Arabidopsis thaliana: one gene and its partners. The protein of the gene in region 1 interacts with the protein of each later gene in a pairwise test. Each region holds a gene or a part of one and is shown on either strand. Other genes may lie near its edges.

The links.
Region 2: the proteins of AT2G22180 (region 1) and PIN7 interact in a protein complementation assay, tested with the Arabidopsis thaliana proteins (one large-scale study listed by BioGRID).
Region 3: the proteins of AT2G22180 (region 1) and ALMT1 interact in a protein complementation assay, tested with the Arabidopsis thaliana proteins (one large-scale study listed by BioGRID).
Region 4: the proteins of AT2G22180 (region 1) and KEA1 interact in a protein complementation assay, tested with the Arabidopsis thaliana proteins (one large-scale study listed by BioGRID).

The regions. Positions count from the first base shown.
Region 1 is NC_003071.7:9,425,483-9,431,290, forward strand, and holds AT2G22180 (hydroxyproline-rich glycoprotein family protein), read left to right. Parts: upstream 1-3,260; 5' UTR 3,261-3,486; coding exon 3,487-4,362; 3' UTR 4,363-4,659; downstream 4,660-5,808. Other genes in the region: PLAT2 (Lipase/lipooxygenase, PLAT/LH2 family protein), read right to left, coding at 1,528-2,004, 2,186-2,260.
Region 2 is NC_003070.9:8,178,556-8,186,305, reverse strand, and holds PIN7 (Auxin efflux carrier family protein), read left to right. Parts: upstream 1-2,655; 5' UTR 2,656-2,899; coding exon 2,900-4,100; intron 4,101-4,177; coding exon 4,178-4,448; intron 4,449-4,538; coding exon 4,539-4,624; coding exon of another isoform or gene 4,625-4,662; exon of another isoform or gene 4,663-5,065; coding exon 5,066-5,223; exon of another isoform or gene 5,224-5,303; coding exon 5,304-5,380; exon of another isoform or gene 5,381-5,471; coding exon 5,472-5,538; 3' UTR 5,539-6,117; downstream 6,118-7,750. Other genes in the region: AST91 (sulfate transporter 91), read left to right, coding at 1-284, 493-578, 744-820, 916-1,068. UniProt on the Arabidopsis thaliana protein: Acts as a component of the auxin efflux carrier. Mediates the initial auxin gradient which contributes to the establishment of the apical-basal axis in early embryogenesis.
Region 3 is NC_003070.9:2,655,856-2,662,983, forward strand, and holds ALMT1 (aluminum-activated malate transporter 1), read left to right. Parts: upstream 1-2,746; 5' UTR 2,747-2,944; coding exon 2,945-3,155; intron 3,156-3,277; coding exon 3,278-3,418; intron 3,419-3,551; coding exon 3,552-3,824; intron 3,825-3,918; coding exon 3,919-4,040; intron 4,041-4,127; coding exon 4,128-4,271; intron 4,272-4,583; coding exon 4,584-5,174; 3' UTR 5,175-5,455; downstream 5,456-7,128. Other genes in the region: BSL2 (BRI1 suppressor 1 (BSU1)-like 2), read left to right, coding at 164-299, 394-533, 623-709. UniProt on the Arabidopsis thaliana protein: Malate transporter critical for aluminum tolerance. The STOP1 transcription factor is required for ALMT1 expression.
Region 4 is NC_003070.9:281,448-291,240, forward strand, and holds KEA1 (K+ efflux antiporter 1), read left to right. Parts: upstream 1-2,902; 5' UTR 2,903-3,188; exon of another isoform or gene 3,189-3,274; 5' UTR 3,275-3,333; coding exon 3,334-4,904; intron 4,905-5,004; coding exon 5,005-5,176; intron 5,177-5,269; coding exon 5,270-5,360; intron 5,361-5,549; coding exon 5,550-5,686; intron 5,687-5,773; coding exon 5,774-5,833; intron 5,834-5,947; coding exon 5,948-6,067; intron 6,068-6,194; coding exon 6,195-6,263; intron 6,264-6,341; coding exon 6,342-6,407; intron 6,408-6,639; coding exon 6,640-6,729; intron 6,730-6,953; coding exon 6,954-7,058; intron 7,059-7,145; coding exon 7,146-7,274; intron 7,275-7,434; coding exon 7,435-7,644; intron 7,645-7,789; coding exon 7,790-7,939; intron 7,940-8,091; coding exon 8,092-8,145; intron 8,146-8,270; coding exon 8,271-8,329; intron 8,330-8,580; coding exon 8,581-8,647; intron 8,648-8,722; coding exon 8,723-8,899; intron 8,900-8,991; coding exon 8,992-9,048; intron 9,049-9,130; and 5 more. Other genes in the region: AT1G01770 (propionyl-CoA carboxylase), read left to right, coding at 1-89, 312-742, 1,037-1,043; PLIM2b (GATA type zinc finger transcription factor family protein), read left to right, coding at 1,472-1,606, 1,685-1,784, 1,867-1,889, 1,997-2,086, 2,366-2,635. UniProt on the Arabidopsis thaliana protein: Electroneutral K(+)/H(+) efflux antiporter involved in chloroplastic K(+) homeostasis and osmotic adjustment, especially during plastid division and thylakoid membrane formation.

The DNA of each region.
Region 1 (5,808 bases):
AGACCCTCATCACTTTTTAGCTTTGTCTCATTGTATTTGTTCCATGAGCTTTTAGCTCTAGAATGAGAAGAGTAAACATAAGAATAATTAAGATATGCTTAGTCATTTTGTTTGATTTCTTCTTTTTGATTGTTTTTAGTGCGAGAGTTAAGTAGACAAACGAACACATTCATATATACTTGGTGGATCAAACTTTTTTCTTAATTGCACTGAATGTGTGCATGTGATCGTTAACACAAAAATAGACAATTATATAGTTAATGCTTTAACCTTAAATTAGTTTTTGTCTCAACGAAATTATTAGCCTATCATCTTTTTACGTACCAGTTAAGTCCAAAGAGGTATGAGAAATGAGATGAACATGCGATCATTAACTGTTTCGATGTATTTGAAGATTTTTATGATGAAACAATGTTTTCTCGTCTTTGAAAGCAATATCTTCAAAGTCTTACGCGGCAATTCAAATAAGTCTGTTATTACTTTGTTGCATCGAATCATGTGATCGTTAGTTTAAAGGATTATCACTAGGTTCACTACTTTATCATTTTCTTCATTGTAGTTTATATGACATTTAATTTTCTGTCAATTAATATGATTGAATAAAACCATTTTAATCTGTTTCTTCTAATTTTTATGAGAATCATAAATTCTTTCTTTTTAGACAGTTACTATTATTAAGAAAGAAAAAAACATGTTCTAGGGGGATGGAGATTAGACATAAATATTTTGACCTTAACGAAGTCTTTGTAAATAAATATTATACAATCAGTAATTATCTTTTAAAGGCATATTGTCTATTTATTTTATGTCTAGCTTGTATATTGCTTTGTGGTTCTATAGATTATGTGTGCAGGGATGATCTTTTTCAATTTTCATTGAGGAACTTATTGCTCACACCTTCTTTTATAGATTTAAAAGACGATTAGGAGCATAGTGAGATTTATATGGTGCCTTAGGAGGAATTTTAAAGTCATTCATTTGATAATGGTTTTCAGTTATTAGTATGACCCAAAGAAATGTTCCGTTTCAACCAAATGTCACTTAATTAGGAGGTTTAGGCCAATACCAATTAATGTCGTTGATGTTTCTTACAAAATTGTAAGTTTCTTGTTGACTTTTTGAACATGCACAAAAATGATTAAAATTGTGAAGATCCACTCTGTATTAAATGTTTAAAATTACATCGAAAAATGTGAAAAGGGCCCATCTTTTATACTATTTGGCAAAGTTTTGATTAATCATAAGGTTGTAGCTTTGAACGTTTATTTGTGAAAATAAAACGAAACAAAGAAACTATATCAACCAGTAATTATCTTTTTTTCTTTTTAATATGATCAGTAATTATCTTTTAATTTCATCACACGAAAAACTTAATAATGTTTGATAAAAATCTCACAAACAACAAAGAACGGAACTTTTATTCGATCGAATCATTTTCATTATTGCCATCACACGTTCACAAGACAACAAAGAACAACTCTCCAAGTTACACACACACATACACATTTGACATTTCATTCACTACTCTCACACGATCCAAGAGAGAGTCTTCCGGATCTCAGACCCGACCCGACCGACACTTTCCCTAAGCGAAACTGGACAGTTATTCCGAACAGCACTGAGCTCATACGGCGATGTATCGGACGCAAGCCATTGCTCAACATCAAAGCTTTGGTACGAGCACTTTGCATGAACTCCGGCTGTCGTGACTTCCACGTAGTTAACATACCAACCGTGGTGGTCACCGGAGCCGTCAGAGGTCAGATTTAATGAACAGACTGGGCTCGGAAGACATGGTGCTTTCCCACTGAAAATGTCGAGATTACCCCTCTCGTAGTAGTTGTAACCTGGTCCCATTAAACCACCCCATGCTTCTAGGTTTCGGATCCCGATGTAGTCTCCGTATTTGTCGTAGACTCTAGCGCTTATGATCGAATCTGTACCGGCTTTGAAGGTTGATCCGGTTCTAAGGAAGAATGTGTAGACACAATCTGCTTCATCGTCCTGTGAAATCAAGAAAGTCATTTTTTTAAATGGGAAGAAACAGAAGTTTGTAGTCTAATAGTTTAAACTAATGTCATTGATGTTGTGTCATTATATACATATTCAAATCTGGTTAATGTGTGTGTCTAGTTCTAGACAAAATCATATATGAGAGGAAGCAAGTCAGATTTGGAAAACTTACGGCTAATGCGACAGCGGAGACGGTGGCGATGACGAGGAGGAGTGAGAGGAAGAGGACGTCACGGCGAGGCATCATCGGTGATATGGATGTATAAGAAAGAGAGATCTAGTCTATGGAAATATTAATAGAAATGTTGAAAATGCTAAAGTATATGAGAGTTTAGATTTCAATGATTTAATTATCGTCTGTTTTGGGAGTTGCGTATGAAGATGACGTGGTCGTTTTTGGTCCGTTGGAATGAGTAAGAAATAAGAATAAAAATACTTAAGGATCCTATAAGCACGTCGTTAACTCGGCGGACAGGTCGGCATGGGTTGTCAGATTTCGAAAAAAATTGCATATTTTTTTTTGTCACAAACGCAAATCTTCGTGAGATACAATACAAATGCACTTCATTTTTCGCCAATTAGAATGTAATGTAACAGTTTCCAGTGTAATGCTCGCAACATAACATGTTTCACGTGGATTGGGGCCGGGGAAGAATTAGAGAAACATTAATTTTTGTTTTTGCTTTTTGAAAGAAAACTTTCGACCATATGAAGGTAAGATTTCCTTTAATTTCCTTGATATTTTCATGTACATATGTTTGATTTATAAATGAAAATTAAGTGATTGTGTGTTTTTCAAAGAAAGAAAAATGAAATAAATTTTGGATAGTATTGTCAGCGAAGCAGCAACAAGGCCCACAAACATAATTTTGAATGGCCGGTTGCTGCGGATTAATGTGTGTAAATACATACATTCCGTTCATGTCAATCCCAACGTATATTCGTATATATGCATTTTTCGCTTTCTAAAGAAACAGAAGTTGCAAGAGAATTGAAATAAAAAACACTTTAATGAAAATTTGGTCCAGAAATACCACCCAAAAATGGTTTTAGTTCGAAACGTACAAAATAAAATAAGACTCGTTCATGATAAACATTACCAATATGTGCTAACCTTTTTAAGATTTTACTCATGTATGTCTTATATGCATATATAATTTATGTTAGAAAATCGATATCTTGTAAACAAAAAGTAACAACTTCGTTGATCATCATCAAATGCCATAATACTATATTATATGAGTTCTGTAATATAGTTTTCTAAATAACAGAAAAAGGGAAATTTAAGGTGAGCTGGCTAACTCTAAATAGCAAAATCTTCTCAAAACCAACCAAAAGTTTGAGTCATGCAACAACAACCACTTACTTTTCCCATGCAAACCCTAATTTTCGCATCCTCTCTTAATTCTCTCTCTTTCGTCTTCTCTGTAGACCAATCTCCACCACACATCTCGTAACTCCCACCTTTCTCCGATGGAGGGGCCACGGCGTCCTCCTTCCGCCACCGCCCCTGACTCTGACGATGACAAACCCGATGATCCTCCGTCCGTTTGGCACCGTCCAACCTCTAGCCTCCCCGCATTGCCATCTTTAGATCCTCCATCGCACGGTTCACACCATTGGCGTAATCATTCTCTTAATCTGTCTCCACTCCCAACGACATCTTCTCCGCCTCTTCCTCCTCCGGATTCAATCCCTGAGTTAGAGACGTACGTTGTCCAAGTCCCGAGAGATCAAGTCTATTGGACCCCTCCTCCGGAACATGCAAAATACGTCGAGAAACGCAGCAAGAACCCGGAGAAAAACAAAAAGAAAGGGTGTTCTAAACGTCTTTTGTGGTTCTTCATTATCTTGGTCATTTTCGGATTCTTACTCGGTGCAATCATTCTCATCCTCCATTTCGCTTTCAACCCCACTCTTCCTGTTTTCGCGGTCGAGAGATTGACCGTAAATCCTAGTAATTTTGAGGTCACATTAAGAGCCGAGAATCCAACGTCTAACATGGGAGTACGCTACATGATGGAAAAGAACGGGGTCGTTTCCTTAACGTACAAGAATAAGAGCCTGGGGAGCGGGAAATTTCCGGGGTTGTCCCAGGCCGCATCTGGATCCGACAAGGTCAATGTGAAGCTTAATGGGTCGACCAAGAACGCAGTTGTACAACCTCGTGGATCGAAGCAACCGGTTGTTCTGATGCTGAATATGGAGCTGAAGGCTGAGTATGAAGCAGGGCCGGTCAAACGGAACAAGGAAGTGGTGGTGACTTGTGATGTTAAGGTTAAGGGACTATTAGATGCGAAGAAGGTTGAGATTGTGTCGGAGAATTGTGAGAGTGAGTTCAAGAACTGACACTCGCTCTATATATATTTTATATATAACATGATTGTGTCGTTAGAGTTAACAATGTGCTTAATTAATTCATACTTTCTATGTAATGTTCAATTGTTCATTTTTTTTCCCTAATGTCTTTGTTTTTACTCTATATTGTTGAGCGACAAAAGAAAACGTGAACAAGAAGAACACAATAGAGTGAGCGTCTTTTTTTTTTTTTAAATGTACCTTTGCTTTTACAAATAAATTTAGTTTAGCCCAGATTACAAATAAACAGACTAGTCAGAACTTCTTAAAAACAGAAGATATAATTGGGCCTAAATGCAAAAGTAACATTTCACCTCCTAAGATTTTTCCTAGACCAAGTGTGTACAAGCAATACTCCGAAAACTTGATGGGATCATTCCCTCTTTTTTTTTTCTTTTTTTTTTTATCATTCTCTTTTTGATAAGATCATTCTCATTTCTCAGTGTTGTTAGTTTTATTATAGAAATGTAACTTACATTTTGGGAATAAGTGCCGTCTGTACATTTCTATTAGTTTAACTTTCTCTTTTTCTGTTGGAATGTAAAATTTAGCTTCAACAAAGATATTTATATTTTAATTAATAGAGAATTTCAAAAGTTTGAAAGAAAAGATAGACTTTTAAAAGAATGAAGATTGAAAAGAAACAAATAGACTTTTAGAAGAATGGAAGTTGAAAAGAAACAATCTTGATCAGTACTTCTTCCTTCGAGCCAACATCTAATGAGGTCGTGAAGACAAGTCATATTAAAATATAGGTGCGAGGAGACCCGATCTGTTATTTTGTCGATCACTAGAGCTGACGGTTTACTGTTTCGTACGGTAAAAATTGAATATAGTCATTACACTATCGCTCACAACAAACATAAGAGATAGAAGCTGAGAATTTTGATAGTGCCATTGACGAGGTGGGGTTGCATATGCATCCAATCAGGAGTGAGATGCGAGCTTAGTAGAGGACCACCAACTTAAGGCCACGTTTTGAAGGAGAAAGGACTCATAAAAATATATGATCTTTGGCTTCGTCGAATTCGCCATAGTCCATAGAGGTACTTGTCTGCGAATGCAACTACCCGTTTAGAGGCGAATGTGTTAATAAACGGAAATGCTTTGCGAGAATCTGGCCTCACCATCTTATTGTTCAATAAGTGGAATGTATTAATAAGAAAATACAAATTATGAAAGTTTATACAAAAATATTTTTATATTTCACCGCAGATTTCAAAATGCAATGTTCTTTTTTTTTTGTGCGCTAGTTATTTTAAATATACTTGATTATTTTAAAAAATCGAATATACATAAAGAATCATTTATTCTATACCCCTACCATCTACCAAGAAAAGGTTGAGTGGTCATTTTCGCGAAACCACAGTGGAGAAACAATAATTGTGTATAAAGATATTCCACTAGAAAGTGAAACAAATAGGTCCAATTATTTAT
Region 2 (7,750 bases), on another chromosome or scaffold:
ATATGGAAGATCGATAAATTTGATTTCTTGGTGATGCTTTGCGCGTTCTTTGGTGTCATTTTCCTATCCGTTCAAAACGGTCTAGCCATTGCGGTGGGGCTATCGTTGTTCAAGATATTGATGCAAGTAACAAGGCCGAAAATGGTTATAATGGGTAATATTCCTGGAACGGATATATACCGAGATCTTCATCATTACAAAGAAGCACAAAGGATCCCGGGATTTCTTGTTTTAAGCATCGAATCTCCTGTCAATTTCGCCAATTCTAACTACCTCACTGAAAGGTTAGCTATGAAACTACGATCCTTTCTATATAGATTTTGGAAGTTCGGATACATTAGACTTTGATCTCTTAAATGTTTATGAACCCTGATGTTTATTAGATTGTAACCACATTTCTTAATACATTTTTTTTGTCAACACCACATTTCTTAATAGCTATGTTTCATTTACTAACATTCTCTGCTTTTGTGTTGCATAAATTTTTTGTAGAACATCTCGTTGGATTGAAGAATGCGAAGAAGAGGAAGCTCAAGAGAAGCATTCTAGCCTACAGTTCTTGATTCTTGAAATGTCAGGTTAGTCTTGATAGAATCTATTAGAAACCCGTATAGGAAATGTGATTAGACTTAAAGGCAAATTCACTCATTGCTAATTAGTTTTAATTTTCTAATGCAAAACCATAAAACTCAAGAAAACCAATATATTTCAACTAGCTAACTTTGCTTTTATATATGTTAAAGCCGTGAGCGGTGTAGACACAAACGGAGTGTCCTTTTTTAAGGAACTTAAGAAAACAACCGCCAAGAAGGACATCGAGGTAAAAATAGTTGTTTTCACAATCCGATTTTGTCACTTATCCAAGGAAACTAATTAGATTTTGATCTAAACTGGATATTTATTTTATGTGTGAAGCTTGTGTTTGTGAACCCTCTAAGCGAAGTGGTGGAGAAGCTTCAAAGAGCTGACGAACAAAAAGAGTTCATGAGGCCCGAGTTTCTCTTCTTAACCGTCGCTGAGGCCGTTGCGTCGCTCTCTCTTAAAGGGCCATCTCTCAGTAACGTTTAACTATAATTTTTTGTATCGGTCCAATATTGATATTTAACCGATGGTTAAATTTTTCTTTTTGTCTCTTTTTCATCTTTTAATTTCAGTACAGATGTAATATTACGTTCTTCTCTCTCTTTCTTCAGTGATGATTTTGGTCAAGATATGTTTGTATGATTTCGCCATTTTGTAGTTTACTAGGCCATGTTTAGTCTCCGAGAATAAAATTGATCTAGAATCGAATTGATATCTTAGCTAGATCAAACGGATGTATATCCAAATTATTTATGAAATAAACTGATTAAATAAAAAAATAAAAATAATATTTTTATTTAAGATAATTATGTTTTATAATATTAGAAAATATGACCAAACCATGAGCAGAATTGTGTTAAGAACTTTGCCAAGTTAGAGCTTACATTATATATCAAAAGTCAATGTGTAATTGTCAAGAGGGATAAACCGACGCGGATGAATCGAAGAAGCAATTGCTTTCAAGAAGACTTCAAATCAGCTATGTGTCTGCGATTATAATTGTGTAAACGTTATAAGCAAGAAATTTATCTCAAAATAAAACTGGTCTATAAATCAAATCGAATTGAAAATTTAGCTAGATTAAAAGATGAAATGAACTGATAACATAAACTAATAGATATTTTTAATAAGATGTTACTACTTTTGTGAAATGATAAAATATTTCTGAAGTTAATCGAATTCATTCAAAGCTATGATAACATTGTGACTTCTAGGAAAAAACAATTCTTGATACGGTCGCGGAAAGATCTTGATAACATTGTGACTTCCAGTCTTCCATATGGCATAAGGTATTCTTTTACACTAATACTTTCCCGACAACAACAACGAAAAACTCCAACCTTTTTTTAAAAGGCCACATAGAATGCATGATAGACCATCTGAAAGAAAATGGACAGGGTGGCTTAAAAGTGAGATTTCTTGGGATTGCATAGGATGTTATAATTAACCCTAGCTTGAAAAAAAAAAGACGATTAGACAATAAGAAATAGAATTTAGGTCAACTTAGTTCGGCGAATATGATCTTGCATTGCACCTTCTTTACCAATTTATAGTGATCTTTTGCTCCTTATAAGCACATGTTTAAATCACCACTACGACATTGTTTCTGTTTGGGCCAAATGCACACTTGTATTTTATCTCACAACGAGCTTATGAGAAATCAATCCTAGTAATACGTTAAGTGGCCCAAGAAGTTTTGGACCGGCATTTACGTGTATATAAAAAAATATTATGATTACTTTTAGATGAAACCACACTTAATTTCTTCTTTTTTCTTGGTAAACCACAATATCTCTTTATTGTTTTTATCAAGGATTCACAAAATTCATTGAATGGAAATTTTCATTTATGTGTGACATGTAGACAGTCAGTCCACTCTAAAAAATCTCAGTCAATTTCGTAACAAATTCATAACCTATTTCAAACACAATTCATAACCATAACTTATAAATACTACATAAATGATATTTCTTTATATCATCTTAAATGGTACATAAATTAGGGGAAAGCTAAGATATATATAGTATTAAAAAGTACAAAAATAGATAAGGTTTATAAATGTTTAAAGAAGTAATAAAATAGAAATAAGAACTAATTAGGTCGTCATGTGTTTGCTGTATAAAAAGCTGTAAAGGGACATCTCTCGTAAATCTAAAAATCATCAAATCTTCTCCTTCTCTCTCTCTCTCTCACACACTCACTAGCTTCTCTGTTAAAAGCTTCCGTCATCACATAGAGAACAGAGACTGACACTAACTCACTTCCTAACGGTTTCCACACTCAAAATTACACTTTTGCCACTCCGGCGAACAACAATATGATCACATGGCACGACCTCTACACCGTCCTCACGGCGGTGATACCACTCTACGTAGCCATGATCCTCGCTTACGGCTCAGTCCGGTGGTGGAAAATCTTCTCACCAGACCAATGTTCCGGCATAAACCGCTTCGTCGCTATTTTCGCCGTCCCTCTTCTCTCTTTCCACTTCATCTCCTCAAACAATCCTTACGCAATGAATCTCCGATTCATCGCAGCCGATACACTCCAAAAACTAATCATGCTCACTCTCCTAATCATCTGGGCTAACTTCACTCGCTCCGGTAGTCTTGAATGGAGCATCACAATCTTCTCTCTTTCAACACTTCCCAACACTCTCGTTATGGGAATACCTCTCTTGATCGCCATGTACGGAGAATATTCCGGCTCACTCATGGTTCAGATCGTTGTTCTTCAGTGTATAATCTGGTACACGCTTCTTCTCTTTCTTTTCGAATACAGAGGAGCTAAGATCTTGATCATGGAACAGTTTCCAGAGACTGGTGCTTCGATTGTATCGTTCAAAGTTGAGTCCGATGTTGTTTCTTTAGATGGACATGATTTTCTTGAAACTGATGCTCAAATCGGTGACGATGGTAAGCTTCATGTTACGGTGAGAAAATCAAACGCTTCTCGGAGATCTTTTTACGGTGGTGGTGGTACTAATATGACTCCTCGTCCGTCTAATCTCACCGGAGCTGAGATTTATAGTCTTAACACTACTCCAAGAGGATCTAACTTCAATCATTCTGATTTTTACTCTATGATGGGGTTTCCCGGTGGCCGGCTTTCGAACTTTGGTCCGGCGGATATGTACTCTGTTCAGTCCTCGAGAGGACCTACTCCTAGACCTTCGAATTTTGAGGAGAGTTGTGCTATGGCTTCTTCGCCAAGATTCGGGTATTACCCGGGAGGAGCTCCCGGGTCGTACCCAGCTCCTAATCCGGAGTTTTCTACCGGTAATAAAACCGGTAGTAAAGCTCCAAAAGAGAATCATCATCATGTAGGAAAATCAAATAGTAATGATGCTAAGGAGCTTCATATGTTTGTTTGGGGATCCAACGGATCACCCGTTTCGGACCGAGCTGGTCTTCAAGTTGATAATGGAGCCAATGAACAAGTCGGAAAATCCGATCAAGGCGGTGCAAAAGAGATTCGAATGTTGATCTCTGATCATACTCAAAATGGTGAAAACAAAGGTTTTTAACTTTTAAATTGTATTTTTTTTTGTAACATATGGACACAAATCTCAAACTGTATTTGCTTAAATTTGTAGCTGGTCCGATGAACGGGGACTATGGCGGGGAAGAAGAGTCGGAGAGGGTAAAGGAAGTGCCTAACGGACTACACAAGCTTCGGTGTAACTCCACAGCAGAGCTAAACCCTAAAGAAGCTATAGAAACGGGTGAAACTGTACCGGTAAAACATATGCCACCAGCGAGTGTGATGACTCGGCTGATATTGATAATGGTGTGGAGGAAACTCATAAGAAACCCAAACACTTACTCTAGTCTCATTGGTCTCATTTGGGCTCTTGTTGCTTTCAGGTAACTTAATCAAAAATCAACTACTAGTGGAAGTTTATTATTATTGTGAGATTTGATTAGAGTGATGATTATGGTAATTTGGATATGAAGGTGGGATGTGGCAATGCCTAAAATTATTCAACAATCAATCTCAATTCTTTCTGATGCTGGTCTTGGTATGGCAATGTTCAGTTTGGGTGAGTCATCTTTTTACTCTGTTTCTTTTTTCCGTTAACTCATTTACTTTCTTTCTATTTTTACGCCAATCAAATGTCACAACATCCACATTCGTACGGAAAAAATTGTAACTTTTTTTTGGTGAGGATTCCAATAATTGAAAATGGTTGGTATTTTTTAAGATTTTTTGGGATGGCCCGTTACGGCATGGACCATCCGACAGGTAGGGTCATTGATGCGACGTCGAATTATATAAACGGTCGTGGTGGGATGACATAGCTCGTGTTCTTGATTGTTGTCGTGGTCCCCATATTAAGTGGAAGTTGATTGGACTTACAATGTACATGAATGCATCATCATCATCATTTATTGGATTTAGATTACGTTTACATGTATTGCATCATTCAGCACTTGTTGTTTTGAGTGGAAATGAATTAACTGAAAATGTGAAAATGGTGAAGGGTTGTTCATGGCATTGCAACCGAAATTAATTGCTTGCGGAAATTCGACGGCGACTTTTGCGATGGCGGTGAGATTCTTTACTGGACCAGCGGTAATGGCCGTGGCAGCAATGGCTATTGGATTACGTGGAGACCTATTGCGTGTGGCCATTGTTCAAGTAAATTAAACTATTTTCGTTTGTTGTTAACAATCTCTTTGTAAGAAGTAGTTTAACCAAATCTTGTGGTAACGTTGTAGGCTGCATTGCCTCAAGGGATCGTGCCGTTTGTGTTTGCAAAAGAGTATAATGTTCATCCCGCAATCTTGAGTACAGGGTAAGTATTTCATATTGAACCAATAGTAAAACTTTTCTTATGCATAAGAGAAGATTACTAATATTGTTGATTCTTATGTGTATTATTGCAGGGTAATATTTGGAATGCTTATCGCACTACCGATTACACTTGTTTACTACATTTTACTCGGGCTATAAGCTCTTCAATGGAGAAGTTCTGCTTGGCTGAAGAGGATAAAGAGAAACAAGATAATTCCAAGATTAGTGGAACGCAACTAGAAAATGTAATGTAACACGAAATGTAGTAAATTTAAAGGGACCAAGATTTGATTTGAGGATCCAAAAACCCTTTTCTTGTCTATATATTTTCTAGAGATTATTTGAGAAAGAAGGTGATGGAATGAGAGAGACAAGAGGACCAAAACAAGGGAAAGCAAAAAAAACAGAGGACTAAGATTTGATTTGAGGATCCAAAAACGCTTGTATATTTTCTCTTCTTTTTTTATAAGAAGGGTAAAGCTTTGTTCATATATTTTGACTTGCAATAATTTCTCTTACTTTCTACTTTCATTTTGTTTAAAATTAGGTAGGTACGGTATTCATTTTTTGTTTGTTTTGTGTTTTGTGTAGGTTACTTCTTTCGACGAAAGTGTGTTTTTGTGGATTTTCCTTTCTCATCTAGTATACATTGCTCTCACAAAAGTAAGGACTGTTTTATTCCAATTAAATAAAGAAAATGACCTCTTAGTTAGCGATTAGGCGTGAAGATATATTACAATTGGTTTTATTTAATTTTTGTTCTTGTCTCATGACGTATATGATTATATTTATATTATAATTACATCAAAAGATATGAAATGAAGAAAATCATATGATAGAATTCGAGTAAAACCAGGAAAAAGATGCACCATTTTCTTACAATTCGGCTCTTCGTTATACATAATAAGGGGAAAATGAGTCCAGAACATCTCAACCCATTGAACTTTTAAATGAAGAAAACTAAACGTTTTACCAATTGAGTCACTTTATATTTTACTATTTTATGTTAGACATATTACTATACTAATTTGGACGTTGAGAAAATTTCTCTCTTTTTTCTCAAAAGGAATTTGTCTAGTATAACTTTAGATGCTGTTTAGACAAGTACGTCGACTTGATAAAGCTCTAGTTACCATTCAGAGCATTGGTTACCATTCAGAAGTGGGTTAGGCGCTTTGCACTCAAAACGCGGTGTCGTCGTTTTAGTAAGCTTTGTGATGTAAACACAAATTATATATAGAAAAATAAAAACATAAAAGTAATAAATTAACAAGCAGAAAGTTACTTAAAAGTCAAAAGCAAAAAATATGAAGAAAAGTAATAGCTGCTTTTTTGGTTTGTGTAAAAGTACTTTACTGCTTTTTCATTGTTTTCATACTCTTTTATTTCTAGGTATGTATGTTCTCAAATCTCCAATATAGAAAACGATTGAAAATGACCCTTTTTTAGGTGACGTAAAAAGATCATAATTTGTTGTGTTGCTGTTAATATCTTAAATAGAGTCTCCGACTATTACGCCTGATTTTGCGATGAACGAAGGACTAACCCATCCTATTTAAAAATTCTGTCAATATTTTATTGTTCACTTTCCTTATCTCTTTGAAGCTCGATTTAATTTGTAATCTAACCAGTTATGTGTGGTCAATCTGTGTGACCTTGTGTGTGTTCAACCAGTTATGGACCAACATTAAGTTTTTTTTTGGTTTTTGAATTTAATTCTACTATGAAAATTCATATTTTTGGTTGAAGTAGAAACAAGTAATTGTAGGTACTATAATATTACAGATAAATTGTACATCCCTAAGATTAAATATTGGTGGGTGGAGGATCGTTGGGTTCCGAAAATATGTGACCAATTTAAAGATCCATTGAATTAAATGTCGAAGTGGAAGGGAACATACCCAACTCTTATATAGTCCTTCTAGAAAATTGAAAAAAGGGTCTTCCAACAAATAATCTTAAATCACGGATTTGACCAGCCATTGAAAAGGTAACTAATTTGCTTAATCATCGAGATTAGTATATTTCGTTATCTTAAAACCAACATGCGTCGCATGAAAGCTATAATGAACTCCGTGCACCATGTATTTCAATATATACGACGAGAGAAGATATTTTATCTCTTGGTATTATCGAAAATGTCTTACGTAATCAGAAATCTTTATCGGTATAGTCGTCACATAAACAGATAGAAGGGGATTGTCTTAATAACATGGGGCGGAAATTCTGAAAGAAACAATATTTTATTTATTTTAGATATATAGATTTTGGTATAAGTTCTTACTAATACGTTTTTATTAAGAACTATTTTACCAATTATTTTTATCTATTATCATTTCTTCATTCCATAATTTCATAAAATTATTAACAA
Region 3 (7,128 bases), on another chromosome or scaffold:
GAGGTGCTGCTATTGTTAGACCAAGAATATATGATATTTTTTTCTTGAAACCAAGGAATATAGTCTAGTTTGCTCCCAATAATTTACCATATGAAGAAGTGTTAATTGCTTTTGCTTTTCATTTTTACCTGTTCTGTTACTCACCAAAACTTGGCAATTGTAGCCTGACCGTGTCATGGAGTTCTGCAACAACAACGATCTTCAGTTGATTGTACGAGCACACGAATGCGTAATGGATGGATTTGAGCGTTTTGCTCAGGGGCATTTGATAACGCTCTTTTCTGCTACAAACTATTGTGGTATGTACATGGACTCACTAAGTGCCATAACCGGATTTTGATATTTTGATGGGGTTATTTCTGTTTTCTTAATAGTTTTTATACTAAATCTCAGGTACTGCAAACAATGCTGGGGCTATCTTGGTACTAGGGAGAGATCTTGTAGTGGTACCTAAGCTCATTCATCCGTTACCTCCAGCACTTTCATCGCCTGAAACTTCACCAGAAAGACATATAGAAGACACATGGATGCAGGTTCATATTGCTTCATTTCATTACTGAATCTTAGTCCATAGTTATTGACCTGAAACATTGGTACTTAGCGTAGTATGCACTTTTCGCAGGAGCTGAACGCAAATAGGCCAGCGACGCCAACCCGAGGACGCCCACAAAATTCAAATGACCGAGGAGGTTCTCTGGCTTGGATGTGAGGCAGATAAAGAGGCACTCGTGCACATACATACCGCTCCAAAAAACACTTGTAACATCTGCCTCCTGGTGTTCCTCATGTGTACAGAAAAAGATGAGCCATAGACGAGAAACGATGAGGCTTGAAGATATCAGGGGGTGTGTAAATTAAGATGTTAAAAGGTTAGAGAAGTCAGTTTTGGTGGTGGTTTAGTAGTGATTTGTAGAGTTTATTTGTCCGGGCTTTAGTCCTCTCGTTCATTTTTATTCAGTCTGCTGTTTCTTCTTTTTTTTTATCATGTCATATCTTTCTTTTTTCCTCTTCAATTGTCTCCGTTGTTTTCGTTTGTGGTATAGTTTTTTGGCGAGTGGGTATGAATTCTTAGAATGGTAATGGTTGATTAGGTGGAGGATGGTCTGATGTCGTGGGGGGGGGGGGCTTTTGTGTATTTTAATTTTATTGTCAGTTCATACTTTGTAACATTTGTGTTGATTATATGATACGAAAAATTTTCCTGGCTCCTTTTGGTTGTCTAAGCTAGACCAAAAAAGAAGAGAAAAGAAAGAACTTATGCCCTTGAAAGCGACTTTGAGTTGGTTCATGGATCCTCGGGTGATGGACTCAGTCACTCGATTTGCTTGAGATTCATAAATTTATACATGTGCTTTGTGGCCTTCAAATGAAACACTGGTGATGTCGATATGATGTGATTTGGCATCGATGCTGTCATTGGCTCCAAAAAATCATGTTTTAGCGGTGAGAACAAAAAAAACAAAATTTTTGGAGGATCAGATGGTTGAAGTTAAAACTCGAGGGTATTAGATGGTTAAATTTTAATATTGTTTTGGATATAGGATGGTGATTAAAAAAAAAAAGTTTTGATTAGTGTTGGTGCAGGAATTAGCATCTCCGATAATACCAATTTAAACCAAGGAATAACGTGAATAAAATCGAGAATTCGATTGAACCGGGGTATCCCGGCTAGTCTGTTAATGGGCCTAAGTCATGAGCTCGCCAGAAGATTTAGGTCGACAGTCAAGATCGCCATAGGCGGCTTCTCAGGTCGTGTAAAGGGAAAACTTCCATTTAAGAGAAGAGGATCTCATGAAGAATAGAAGTAATGAAGATTTAGACCTAAGATAATTAGAAGTTTATCATATTTTGGTATGTTGGACCCATTGTATAAATAGGGGGGGGGGGTCAAGCCCTCTAAGAGGATCATGACCAACCTAAGACAAGAGACTACTATTACAGAGCAAACTCTAGCTTTTTATTCAAGCAACTTTGTTCTTCTCCTTTGATTATTCGTGAGCTAAGAGAGAAGTGAATTTGTCTAAATCCCTTAGTACAAATTAATTGTTTGATTAGAGAATCAACAATTAGTTTTGAACCTGATGATGTATTGGTCAAACTTGTAATCATCGCATCTGAGTTTGAGGTCATTTTTTCCAACTGTTGTTATACATATAAAATATCCAAAGAATAAAAGCCTTGTACGATCGGGGTATTGGGGTCCGTACCAACTTGTTGACATTTTTTATGTTTTTGGTGTGTGGCAGACTAGATTGAAACAATAATGACTAAGCAACTCAGTAAGAGTCCTTTTTTTGGACTCAGTAAAAGAGTCCAAGTTTTCTTTGAACAACAAAATTTTGTTGAGGTGTGTATGCACTTGGTTGGGAACAAACAAGTAGATGGCAAAGATCATTCGAACATTGGAGCCCAAGTGTTGAGGGCACTAATCTTGTCGATTACAGAAACGAAATTATTTGGGGAAGCTGCAAGAAAAAGTTTAGTTAAATCTTTTATATTCCTTAATCAAAATGTATCATGCATACACTATATACAATTCACTAAAGTATGATAGTTAAATACCTAATTAATATCATGATCAACTCCTACCGGTTCATCTAACTAATCCAGCTCAGCATAAAAACCCTCACGCGTCGCTCCAATTAAGGGGAGGGCTTAACTAGTGCCCAACTTACTGGGCTAGGTTCGACTCCGTTTTTTTATTACATTTTCCTTTTCCATTTCTTTAAGACTTTAACCCTGAAATCTCGAAGTGCAACGCACCACTAATTTTTTATAAATATTAACATAACATTTCATGAGTCCTAAACAAGAGTCTCTCTTGGTCTTTATAAATACATCGATCCATGTACATAAAAACAACAAGTCATCTTTTCTTTCTATCTGAAAGTAATCAGAGAATCAGAAAACACTTGAGAGAGCTGAGTGACCATCAAAAGGTGTTATGGAGAAAGTGAGAGAGATAGTGAGAGAAGGGATTAGAGTAGGGAATGAAGACCCGAGAAGAATTATTCATGCTTTCAAAGTGGGACTTGCTCTTGTTTTGGTCTCTTCCTTCTATTATTACCAACCTTTCGGTCCTTTCACCGATTACTTCGGTATCAATGCAATGTGGGCTGTCATGACCGTCGTTGTTGTCTTTGAATTCTCCGTAGGTTCGTCATCTAGTTTCTATCATTTGAATATGTCTAGTAGATATATCTAGGGAGAATGCAAGAATTTTTGTTGTAAACTTTTGGCCATAATATTAAATAACTTTGGTTTGATGTGTACTTAGGGGCTACACTTGGGAAAGGACTAAATAGAGGAGTGGCAACATTAGTAGCAGGAGGACTAGGAATTGGAGCTCATCAACTAGCAAGATTGTCGGGTGCAACAGTGGAACCTATTCTTTTGGTCATGTTGGTCTTTGTGCAAGGTAAACCCTTATAACACTCTTTACATTTTCAGATTACCATGCGTTTCCAAGCGTTTGGTCAATCATTGTTTGGCTAAAGACTAGATCAAAGAAGATTGGGCAATGAGTAATTAGTATTGTGATATATGTGCAGCTGCGTTGTCGACGTTCGTAAGGTTTTTCCCATGGGTAAAGACAAAGTTCGATTATGGGATATTGATATTCATATTGACGTTCGCGCTGATATCGTTGTCGGGGTTTAGAGACGAAGAGATAATGGATTTGGCAGAAAGCAGACTATCGACAGTGGTGATTGGAGGAGTCAGTTGCATCCTTATCTCTATCTTTGTCTGTCCTGTTTGGGCTGGACAAGATCTACATTCTCTCCTTGCCTCTAACTTTGACACTCTCTCCCACTTCCTTCAAGGTTTTTTATTTCTTTCTCTTTTTCTTTTCCTCATTATGTCTCTACAAGAACATAAATATATACATATACGAGATAGTGAATGTGAAATTGGCAGATTTTGGGGACGAATATTTTGAAGCGAGAGAGAAGGGGGACTACAAAGTAGTGGAGAAGAGGAAAAAGAATCTTGAGAGATATAAAAGTGTTCTTGACTCCAAAAGCGATGAAGAAGCTTTGGTGGGCTACTCTCTCTCTTTCTTTCCCTACTTGCTTCACAATTATGAAATCATTTGGATTGATTTTGTTTTGATATTTTGCGTTTAGGCTAATTACGCAGAATGGGAACCGCCTCATGGACAATTTAGGTTTAGGCATCCATGGAAACAATATGTTGCCGTTGGTGCATTACTCCGGCAGTGTGCCTACAGGATTGATGCCTTGAATTCATACATCAACTCAGATTTTCAGGTAATCGCTAACTTTTTGTTAGGTGTTTGCATATTTAATTAAAACAAAATTTGAAAATACATAAAAGAAGAAAAACTAATATGCTATTATGCTATAACTATTTTTGATCTAATACAATATATATATCTATATATATATATATATATATATTTACATGTCGCAAATGCAAACACAAAAATAACATCAGGTTGAAATTCTTAGTCTGTTAATTTGTTTATATAGTTTTTTTTTTTAGTGTAAACATGTATAGTAGTATATGTTTCTGGTTAACGTGTTTCTAACCCTTTGTTTATTTCTTATTTTTTCTATTAGATCCCAGTGGACATAAAAAAGAAATTAGAAACACCATTAAGAAGAATGAGCTCGGAATCGGGAAACTCAATGAAAGAAATGTCCATTTCACTAAAACAAATGATAAAATCATCTTCTTCTGATATCCATGTCTCAAACTCACAAGCTGCATGCAAATCTCTTTCTACTTTACTTAAATCAGGCATCTTGAACGATGTTGAGCCTCTTCAAATGATCTCATTGATGACGACTGTCTCCATGCTCATAGATATTGTTAACTTAACCGAAAAGATCTCGGAATCTGTACACGAGCTTGCATCCGCTGCAAGATTTAAGAACAAGATGAGGCCGACCGTGCTATACGAGAAGTCGGATTCCGGAAGCATTGGTCGTGCCATGCCAATAGATTCTCATGAAGATCATCATGTTGTCACAGTTTTACATGACGTTGATAATGATAGATCAAACAATGTTGATGATTCACGTGGAGGGAGTTCACAGGACTCATGTCATCATGTTGCCATAAAGATTGTTGATGATAACTCAAACCATGAAAAACATGAAGATGGTGAAATACATGTACATACATTAAGTAATGGGCATCTTCAGTAAGTAATTCAACTCATTATTTGAGGAGCAGTCTTTTGTACCCGCAAGATTATAGAGACGAGACCATCGGTATATAACATATTCGGGTATTTCATTCAGATTTGAAGTTTGTTACAAATACTATTGTCGCCTTTGATCATTTTTGAACTATTGGTCACACATTTAATAAAGTCTTGGTCTTCGTTTTCCTTTGCGTTACTCTTTTAAAGATTTTTATATCCAACTGATCAAAAAATTTAAAAATAGCATGGTTTTATTTTTGGATTATGGTGTTTTAGAGAGCTAACCTCAGTAAATAAAAGAACATAGACCGGCGCCAGATAAAGACAAGTCCGGCAAAAACTCTAGATTGTTATTTTCTATGAATATAATTAATTTTATTCCAAACATATATCGTATGAAAAAAAAAATCATTTATCATTGGAGGAGGCGGTGATCAGGCGCAGTGAGAGGAGGAGTCGGTTAACAAAAGTGGTCTTGGCCAGTGCCAAAGCGTCATTGTAATCGCTTTCAATTCTCAAAACCAATACGGTAATATGCACAACTAATAGAATGTTTCAGGTGACAAATTTTCTCACTAAAGTCAAACTTTCATACTTGCCGATGAAGTAACAAACATACAGTACGTTCAATACATTAAGGATATATATAAGAAACAAAAGCTGGAAATTGTGTGAATTTAGCTAGGTTAGATTATAGTATAATAAAGTTGCCTTGTACGATTGGGGTAATGGCTAATGGATTCCGTACGTTGATGCCAACTTGGTATTGGCAAGGCTGAGTGTGACTCGGTGCAAAAAGCACCAGCTGCTATCTAATTCCGCGTTCTAACCAATACTACATTTTCATTTATTATTACTTTTTACAATCCATAAATCTCTCTGCTGTGGAGGGTTGATATAAGATCCGAAACTTCTTTGTTGATAAAAAAAAATCTAACAATCTTCCAAGTTCAAATCTCACTCAGGAAATATGAATGACTGAATATTTAATTAGATATTATCGAAATTGTGATTCTTGTTGACAAAAAAAAACAAATCTCATAAGAAGTGGTGATGTCAGTTTTCGTTGAGAGAAAGAGAATTTAAGTGGATATGTTCAATATACAAAAAAAAAAAAAAAAAAAAAATTGGACAATTTGGTCGAATATTAATAAGGTAGGTCTAAATATTAGTGAAAGTAACATATGTGAATGCCCAAAACGGACGGATATTTTACTAGCTTTGAAACAAAGAAACGATGGGACAAAATGACAAATTGAATGTCTATTTATTTGGAGTTTGTCATGATTATTCATGTCAAAAACGCAAACTATTATTAATAGACTGTTTATTTTATTATTTTCTTACACTCGCCGAAAATGTTCAGAATCGGAAATAATTAGATGTAACGTTCCTGTAAAAAATGCATTGAGTTTTAATTTTATTTTATTTTCTTAAAGATAAAAAATTTCTGTTAAATGAAAAATGAAAGAGTTGTGAATTACGTTTTTTTTTTTAATATTGATTATAAATGTACAGCTAGCAACTTTAAAAATGGTTAGAAAACAAATGTTGGATAGCACTATTTTATTTTTACATAAAGAAAATCTTTTGGACGTGGAATTTTAATAGAAATTTCGGAAATAAATTAAGAGAACAATACTAAAGTATGCTACTAATAGCCGCTTTTAAATATCGGATAAATCAGCACCAAAGTAGAACTTGGTTACGTAAGTACTAGTCTCTGCCTCTAATTAAAAATACTCTGTCTCCAGTTAATTATATTTCTCATTTTCAATTTCTTTAACCCTCAACGTACGATATGAAGTACAACGCACCACTGATTTTTTTCTTAAAATAATAAAATAACATTTCACGAGTCCCGAACAGGACTCTCTAGTCTCATAATGCTCATTATAAATAACGACGATCCATCCGCTCAAAACAACAAGTCATCTTTCTACTTCTTCCTCTCT
Region 4 (9,793 bases), on another chromosome or scaffold:
AATCTGTAATGTGGAAAACTGGACTTCAGCACACCAACACTTCAGAGCCAGAGACCTCTGAACATCATTCTCCAGAGAAAATGCCAAAGGTTAGCTCGAGAGTTCTTACTAAACTAATTGTGATGACTGATAGATAATGGAAATAAACATGACCTGAATTCAAATTCCTTGGTGAATCAATCCTAGTGTGTTCGAACATCAAACTAACTCTGATGACTGATAGATATGTTTTACTATTTGAAAGCTGAAAATGTGAAAGAACTCTAACATGTGCATTTGTATTAACACCTTGTTATTACTTCCATTTGTAGTTACCTAAGGAAAATCCAAAGAACCTTACAATGAGAGGCTATCAATCTGGATTTCATCACTCTCCTGCTCCATCTGGCCAAAAGATCCCACTCTACTCTGTTGCACATAGCCGGGCTGGCGATAAAGGAAACGACATAAACTTCTCAATAATCCCGCATTATTCCCCAGATGTCGAGCGTCTGAAACTCATAATTACTCCTCAATGGGTAAAGCATGTGATGTCAGTTCTGTTATCAACCTCTTCGTTTCTGGAATTGGATGCAAAACCAATGGATGAAAATGTGTCAGTAGAGATATATGACGTTGAAGGCATTCATGCTATGAATGTTGTCGTACGGAACATATTAGATGGTGGAGTCAACTGTTCCAGGAGGATCGACCGACACGGAAAGACAATCTCAGATCTCATCTTGTGTCAACAAGTTGTGTTGTAAGACTACTTTAACTTTGCATATCAGATTTTTCTATTCAAATTCTGTGGTAATATGTTAATAAAAAGGGAGACTTGAACTACACTATAGTTCTAAAAGATAATAGAAAAAGAAGGAATCGACTTAGTGGTGCTTCACTTTCTTTTACTTCTATACATTAAAATTACTTTAATTTACAACTGGATATCTTGATAGATACGCATACAGATAAGTATTAAAAGCATTGTTTTGATTGAGAGAGAATGATATTATATATTTGTGTAATGTTAGGTTGTTGTTATATTCTTTTGCAGGATCTGACTGACATGGGTTGCACCACCTCAGAGACAGTTGGCTTAAAGTAACAATCCCTTATTGGATTGAAATTGTCAGAAACCACAACCCTTCTTTTGCTCAACTCCAATCACTTTGCCACCCAATTTTATCTCATTCATTTTGCAAAAAAGATCAAAGAGAGAGAGAGAGAGAGAGAGAAAGAAAAAAAGGAAAAAACCTTCCTCCGTTACAACCTCACAATTGCAACAAAGTTTCATATAAAAGAGGACAGAAATTTCGCAGGTTCCTCCGTTGTCTGAGGTAAAGGTTTCCTTCTTTAACTAATTCCTCAGATGACCTCTTGATTTGTTGGAAAAAAAATTAAAAAATCTGTTTCATACAGGATCTTGGAGAAGGAAGGAAACAACAACAACCAAAAAAAAACCAAAAAAAAAAAAGATAAAACAAAAAAAATGTCTTTCACAGGAACTCTCGACAAATGCAATGTTTGTGATAAGACAGTCTATGTGGTGGACATGTTGTCCATTGAAGGAATGCCTTACCACAAGTCTTGCTTCAGGTGTACCCATTGCAAAGGAACCCTTCAGGTGCACTCATTACTCATTTTCTTGTTAGATCTTCTATGATCATATTATATCAACAATTTATCTATGTGTTGATGGCAGATGAGCAACTATTCCTCCATGGACGGAGTTTTGTACTGCAAGACTCATTTTGAGCAACTCTTCAAGGAATCTGGCAATTTCAGCAAAAACTTTCAACCAGGTTCGTATTATAAAATCTCTGACATCGAATCTCTCTATCTTTCAAATCATCATGATCATAACAAGTCTCTTTCTTTTCTCAGGAAAAACTGAGAAGCCAGAGCTGGTAGGTTCATCATTACATGTCCTTGTATATGATTAGCGTGTCAATATTTCATTTTCTTTCTTTTATGATCGACTAATAGGATCTGTGTACTGATTTAAACATTACAGACTAGGACTCCCAGCAAGATATCTTCCATCTTCTGTGGAACACAAGACAAGTGTGCCGCTTGCGAAAAAACTGTTTACCCTCTTGAAAAGGTTAGTGGTATACGCATCTGCAAATGTTCTCATGGCCTAAAATACCAACGAACTAGTCTCGTAGAGAAATTTATTTGCTCTAGAATTTGTTTTTTGTTTTTTCATTTCCGTAGAATTTTTCTGTTCGGATAAAATCATTACTAGATCAAATGGAAATAAAATTTTGATTTTGGTTTGGTTTAGTATACTTTTGGTTCGATTTGAGAACGTGATGTTGGTTGGTCCAAGCAAATGTGGAATCAATTTTGGCTTGGTTCTAATCGGGTTATTTGGTAACAGATACAAATGGAAGGAGAATGCTTCCACAAGACATGTTTCCGGTGCGCTCACGGTGGGTGTACGCTGACTCACTCCTCCTACGCCTCCTTAGATAGCGTTCTCTATTGCCGACATCACTTTAACCAACTCTTCATGGAGAAAGGAAACTACGCTCACGTCCTCCAAGCCGCCAATCACCGTCGCACAGCCTCAGGCAACACTCTTCCACCGGAACCTACCGAAGACGTCGCCGTGGAGGCCAAGGAAGAGAATGGCGTTTCAGAGTCTTGAATATCTCTTACATGAGTGTTTTTGAGTGAATGATTGAATGAATGTTGTTGCGGGGGAAAGATTTGATTTCATTTGTAATGAGTTGTTTCCATATGAAGACATGATTTTTTTTGTTATTTTTTTAATTCATTCGTTATACATTTATTATTACACACGAAAAAAAGGCAAGAATTGATGTTTTTTCACTCTATGTGTGCTGCTTATGATATGCTTTCCGATGGTGATGATGATATTCGATGTAATATCTGTTCGGTTCAAAGATACCAAACTACTTATATACCGGATCAAACCAAGTGGTTATCGGGTGATGTGAATCATTCATTATTTCGTTAGGTGAGAGAGGGTGTTTTCGTAAAAGTATCTAAAAACGGCCTTAGCAATGATGTCTGGTTGGCGAGAAACTCAAAAAGGAGGAGACAGAGAAAGTTGTTTGACTGGGAAAATTTGAAGAGACGAGCCAAAATTATCTGTTTGAAACGAACGGAATTGAAGACGAGAGCCACTCCTTTCCGTTTCCACCTTTCTTCCATTCTTACTCAACTTTCCATGATTGGTTAGCCTCTCTATCTGTCCGTGGCTTGTCGTTGATTTTTTTTATCTTGGTCGTCTGAATGTGTGGAATTTCGTTTTGCTTCACAGGAGTTGTATATAAGGTTCGAGGAATAAAGTAAGGCTACTTTTTTTATTTGATTTCCGATATGGAGTATGCGTCTACTTTTCAAAGGCCGATTCTATTCCATGGTGGAGATGGTGCGAGTTACTGCTTTCCAAATCGATTGATAAGTCCTAAAGGAATCAGCATTACATCTGGGGATTCTAAAGTGCATTCGTGTTTTCGATTGAGGAGAAATGTAGCACAAAGTGGTACATTGAATTTGATGAATGCGTGTTTCTCTGGAAGGTTTTATAGTGGTCATTTGCATTCTACAAAATCAATACTTGGCAATGGCCACCAAGCCAAAAGAATCCCTTTTGGATTTAGGTTACGTTGTCAGGGTCATGAATCTCTGGGTAATGCCGATAGTAATGATCATCGGATCGGGGAATCTTCCGAAAGTAGTGATGAAACTGAAGCTACAGATTTGAAAGATGCGAGAGTGGAAAACGACACTGATAGTTTGGAGGAACTCAAGGAGTTACTACACAAGGCAATTAAAGAATTGGAAGTTGCTAGGCTCAATAGTACCATGTTTGAGGAAAAGGCTCAGAGAATCTCAGAAAGAGCCATAGCACTCAAGGATGAAGCTGCTACTGCTTGGCTTGACGTAAACAAAACCCTTGATGTCATTCGAGATACTGTTTATGAGGAGGCTCTTGCTAAAGAAGCTGTTCAAACGGCTACTATGGCCCTGTCTCTGGCTGAAGCTAGGCTTCAGGTTATAGTGGAATCACTTGAAGCTGGTGCAGGGAATGATATTCCACATGTGTCTGAAGAGACTGAGGAAACAATAGATGTTAATGATAAAGAAGAAGCTCTTTTAGCTGCCAAGGATGATATTAAAGAATGCCAAGTTAATTTAGATAATTGTGAGTCCCAACTGAGTGCTTTGCTGAGCAAAAAAGACGAGCTGCAAAAGGAAGTGGACAAGTTGAATGAGTTCGCTGAGACAATACAGATCAGTTCGTTGAAAGCCGAGGAGGATGTTACCAATATTATGAAATTGGCTGAACAAGCTGTAGCATTTGAGCTTGAGGCTACTCAACGCGTTAATGATGCAGAGATTGCTTTACAGAGAGCAGAGAAGTCTCTCTCCATTTCTCAGACCCCAGAGGAAACTCAGGGCCAACTCTCGGATGAAGAAACTTCTCAGGAGGATGCGATGGTACTTTCAGGTAACGTTGAAGATGTTACCCATCAGGTTGAAAAAGAATCACCTAAAGATGGAGATCTACCAGTGGTACAGATCACAGCTGAACTTGTGCCTGATATAGTTGGTCAGAGGAATAAAAAACTAACTCAGCCTTATGAGTCAAGCGATCATGAGAATGGAAAGCCAAGTGTAGAGTCTTCTAAAGTGGTTGAAGCAGATTCTGAAAAGCCAAAGATTAATGTTCAGACAAAAAAACAGGAAACTCAAAAAGATCTGCCAAAGGAGGGTTCCTCTCTTAATTCTCCCAAGGCATCGTTTAATAAATCCTCCCGTTTCTTTTCTGCATCTTTCTTCTCTTCTAATCCAGATGGGACCGCGACAGTGTTTGGTAGTCTGGTTGGTTCTGTCAAACAGCAATGGCCCAAACTAGTTCTTGGGCTTGCTCTTCTTGGAGCAGGGTCAGTTTGAAAATTTACTCTTCTTTGCTTCGAGTTTTGAAGAATCATTTTTGTACAGAAAGTTCTCTTTTTGTTGATACGAGCTTCTTATTCGTTCCAGACTGACATTATACTCCAATGGAGTAGGGGGGAACAACCAGTTGCTTCAACAGCCAGATGTTACCAGCACTAGTACAGAAGATGTCTCTTCAAGTACGAAGCCACTGATCCGGCAAGTGCAGAAACTTCCCAAGAGAATTAAGAAACTACTTGAGATGATCCCTCACCAGGAGGTATGAACAATTGTTCTTGTTTTTTTTTTTCTTTTACGAAGTGCAAATTGTATGGAATGTACTTTGCAGGCTGAAACTTTCTGCAATTAATAGGTCAATGAGGAAGAAGCTTCCCTCTTTGACTTTTTGTGGTTACTGCTAGCAAGCGTCATATTTGTGCCTCTATTTCAGAAAATTCCTGGAGGTAAGTAGTATTTTTTTTTCTTCTTTTGTTAATTCTATCCATTGCATTACTATTTGTTTCCCCTTTCCCTCAAACTCCTACAATTTCTATGTTCTCATCAGTCAAAAACATTTTCAGTTCTGGTCTCGCAATCATGTTGCATAGAGATTTATGTGCCATCTTGATGGCTTCATCTGCTGCAATGTATAGGCAGCCCTGTTCTTGGGTATTTGGCAGCTGGAATTCTGATTGGTCCGTATGGTCTTTCGATAATCCGTAATGTGCACGGAACCAGGGCCATCGCAGAATTTGGAGTAGTTTTCTTGCTTTTCAACATCGGCCTTGAGGTATTATTTGATATATGTGTATGCTACCTTTTTGCTTTTGAACTGTGTTTGGTAGAAGAGCCAATATTTTGTTTATTTCTTTGACAGCTATCTGTTGAAAGACTGAGTTCCATGAAGAAATATGTTTTTGGATTAGGCTCAGCTCAGGTGATTTAAAGATCCGTGTATCTCATTCCACATCATTTATCAACTACAATGCCTACATGCTTGATGTTTCTTTTTCCATCTACTTTAATCTCTACTTCTATTGCTGTAATCTAGGTTCTGGTGACGGCAGCAGTAGTTGGATTGCTTGCCCATTATGTTGCTGGTCAGGCTGGTCCAGCAGCAATAGTGATTGGAAATGGCCTGGCTCTGTCGTCCACTGCTGTTGTCCTTCAGGTAACATTTTTGGTTGTATTCAAAAAGGGATCTTAATTAAAGGAATTTTGTAGCATCCCCTTAATTTTTTTTTTAATGCAATTACGCTACCAGTTGGTTGAACAGAAACAATGCACTTGGTTTTCAGGTTCTACAAGAACGAGGCGAGAGTACATCTAGACATGGAAGGGCTTCATTTTCCGTCTTGCTTTTCCAGGTTTGTTCAGGAAAAAGTTAATTATATACGACAACTATGCTGGGCATTTCTCATCAGTTTGTTATTTTTTCTTCACAGGATCTAGCTGTAGTTGTTTTACTGATTCTCATCCCACTTATTTCACCTAATTCATCGAAAGGAGGGGTAAGCTCATCTCTAGGGTTCCTTCTTTTTCTTGAGTATGGCTTGCTTTTCTGTTCGATAATGTCTAAGTAAGAGGTTTGATAACGTCTTTGGTCTCTTAAGAAGAAACGTTGTGGTCATATGTTGCTATTACTGGTTGAAATTGCTGGTATGCCAGATATTTCTATATACTCAAGGAAGTCTAGGAAATATCAGTGGTCGCAAAATGCTAAGTTTCTACTGCTCTTTTCAGATTGGATTTCAAGCCATTGCTGAAGCTCTTGGGCTTGCTGCAGTCAAAGCAGCAGTGGCTATTACTGCAATAATTGCTGGTGGCCGTCTAGTGAGTCTCAGATACTTTAACTTTTGAGGGTTCAGATATCAAAATAAGTTAATTATTACCAAAGTTGTTAGGTGAAATGTTTTAGATTTGCTACAAAAGGAAGAGGCATGTTTCCATGAACTAATCATGAAAGTTAACTGTGCTATCACTGCTACTTCCGGTACTCAATTTATATGTTTCAATGGAGTTATAATATAAGGAATTTACACTCTTGTTGCATATAGCTTCTTCGACCAATCTACAAGCAAATTGCAGAAAATCGAAACGCCGAGATATTCTCTGCCAACACGCTTCTCGTTATTCTTGGGACTAGTTTACTGACAGCTAGGGTATGACCGTGACCTTGTTGGCATTGAGTAGTTTACTGACATGCCAGTACTTCCCGTCTGCTAATTTTTCCAGTTTCTATAAATCAGGCTGGACTTTCCATGGCATTAGGAGCGTTTTTGGCTGGTCTACTCCTTGCAGAGACAGAATTTTCGTTGCAAGTAGAATCAGATATTGCTCCATATCGTGGTCTTCTGTTGGGACTCTTCTTCATGACGGTAATATGAGTTTCCTAATAACTTTTTCCATAGTTTATCATTTCTGAAAAGAATGAGGAACTATAGATGGAAAAGGAAACCTTTTACTTGTGTTCTAGTAAGATCCTGATATTGTTGTCAACTGTAAGCAAACTAACAAAAAGAGTTCCATTGATTTCAGGTTGGAATGTCAATTGATCCGAAATTACTTCTCTCCAACTTCCCTGTCATAGTGGGAACTTTGGGACTCTTGATAGTGGGCAAAACTATGTTAGTCGTGATTATGGGAAAATTGTTCGGCATATCAATAATATCTGCAATTCGGGTCGGTCTACTATTGGCCCCAGGCGGAGAGTTTGCATTTGTTGCTTTCGGAGAAGCTGTTAATCAGGTTTGTTATCAACATGGCGTATTTTTTTGCTTTTTTCCAATGAGGTATATAATCAGCAATGTTGTTTTAATGGTTTACCCTTACACATTACATATATTTCTGTCAACTGTTTTTCCCTAGAAGGCCTAATCTGTGGTTCTTCCAGGGTATAATGTCTCCTCAGTTATCTTCGTTGCTATTCCTTGTCGTGGGAATCTCAATGGCTATCACACCCTGGTTAGCTGCTGGTGGCCAGTTAATTGCATCTCGTTTTGAGTTGCATGATGTTCGAAGTTTATTGCCCGTCGAGAGTGAGGTAGGAATCTTAATGATTCAAATATAGAATTTACCTCTATTAGGCAATAATTTATCAATCATGGAACCACTTGTAGCTCACACATTCTCTAGTTGAGGAAATCATTACAAGGCCGACTGATGAGAATTTTTCTTGTCTGATTTTATTTGCAGACAGATGATTTGCAGGGTCACATAATTATTTGTGGATTTGGTCGAGTTGGTCAGGTTTATATATTATCTGAACTTCTTCAGTTTATGCTCTTATATGAGAACCTCTCTGTAGACATTCAGCTTCACATGATAGCTCGAAGTTTCTAACCTCGTGACCATTTTCTGTTTGTTAATTGTAGATAATTGCTCAACTTCTCTCGGAAAGACTTATCCCATTTGTTGCCCTTGATGTCAGCAGGTAACATAACATTGCTTATTCTTTGCCTCTATTGTTGAAGAATCTTTGTGGGCTAAAGTGGTTTCAAATATTTTGTTCTCGTATCGAACCGAAAATGTGGGGACTATCAGTAACTTCCACACTCAATGAGATAACATTTCAACCTATCTGATTTATAAGTCTTTTTTCAAGACTCTTTGTATTGCACCAACCAGTTTCCATACCTCTTCCTCGCATGCTATGCTTACCTGAAAACCTCCTTTTTTTTACAGTGATAGAGTGACTATCGGGCGTTCCTTGGATCTTCCTGTTTATTTCGGAGACGCTGGTAGTAAAGAGGTAGGTACACACAAAAACAGAAAAATATAGATTACACCAGCATGTGAATATTACTTCACTTGTGTGAACAAACAGGTTCTCCACAAAATTGGAGCTGGGAGAGCATGTGCTGCTGTGGTTGCCTTAGACGCACCAGGAGCAAACTACAGATGTGTTTGGGCTTTGAGCAAGTTTTACCCCAATGTCAAAACTTTTGTCCGTGCTCACGATGTTGTTCATGGTCTTAATCTAGAAAAAGCCGGTGCTACTGCAGTAATACTCACAGACCCCTTCACTCTCATCTAGACTATAGATATGCTTTGTCAATCGTACACTAATAATACCTCGATCACAAAAACTTTTAGGTTGTCCCGGAGACTCTGGAGCCTAGTCTACAGTTGGCAGCTGCTGTTCTTGCTCAGGTAAAACATAAATGTTTCCTTATTTAGTTGAAGTAGTAATCCTAAACAGTGTATGATCATTTTTTGGGTTGAAACATGTCAGGCAAAATTACCGACATCGGAAATTGCAAACACGATTAACGAGTTCAGAACCCGTCACTTGTCTGAACTGACCGAGGTGTGTTTCATTGTCGATATATCCATCTATATTTATCAGAATCTGGTTTGGTCTGATTGATGTGTATTGGGAAATGGTGTAATGATAATGGCAGCTATGTGAAGCAAGCGGAAGCTCTCTAGGCTATGGGTACTCTAGGACGAGTAAGCCTAAACCTCAACCATCGGATGCATCTGGCGATAACCAGATAATCGAAGGAGGCACAGTCGTAATCTGATGACGTTCTCCATTCTGGTGAGAAAAAGAAGAGTATTTCTCCTTTGGTGTTCTTCTTAAACCACCATCACCAACTTGGGTTGCAGTGCGTGGTGAAGTGATGGATCCATCAGATGATGTGTAGTGTGACTAATATATTCATTATATGTTCAGTACATATCTCTCATTTAAGTCTTTGATCTCAGAACAATTAGATTTGAACAAATGCGTAGCAATCGATTCTCGGCGGCAGTAATAACAAATGAAACTACATCCCGTTCTTGTACTACAGATGTGAACACCTTGCAGTTGTTGGTAAAAGACTGAATGGGCCTTCTTTTCTTTGACTTCGACTGAATGGGCCTTAAATACAGTTGGTTTTATGGTCCAAAC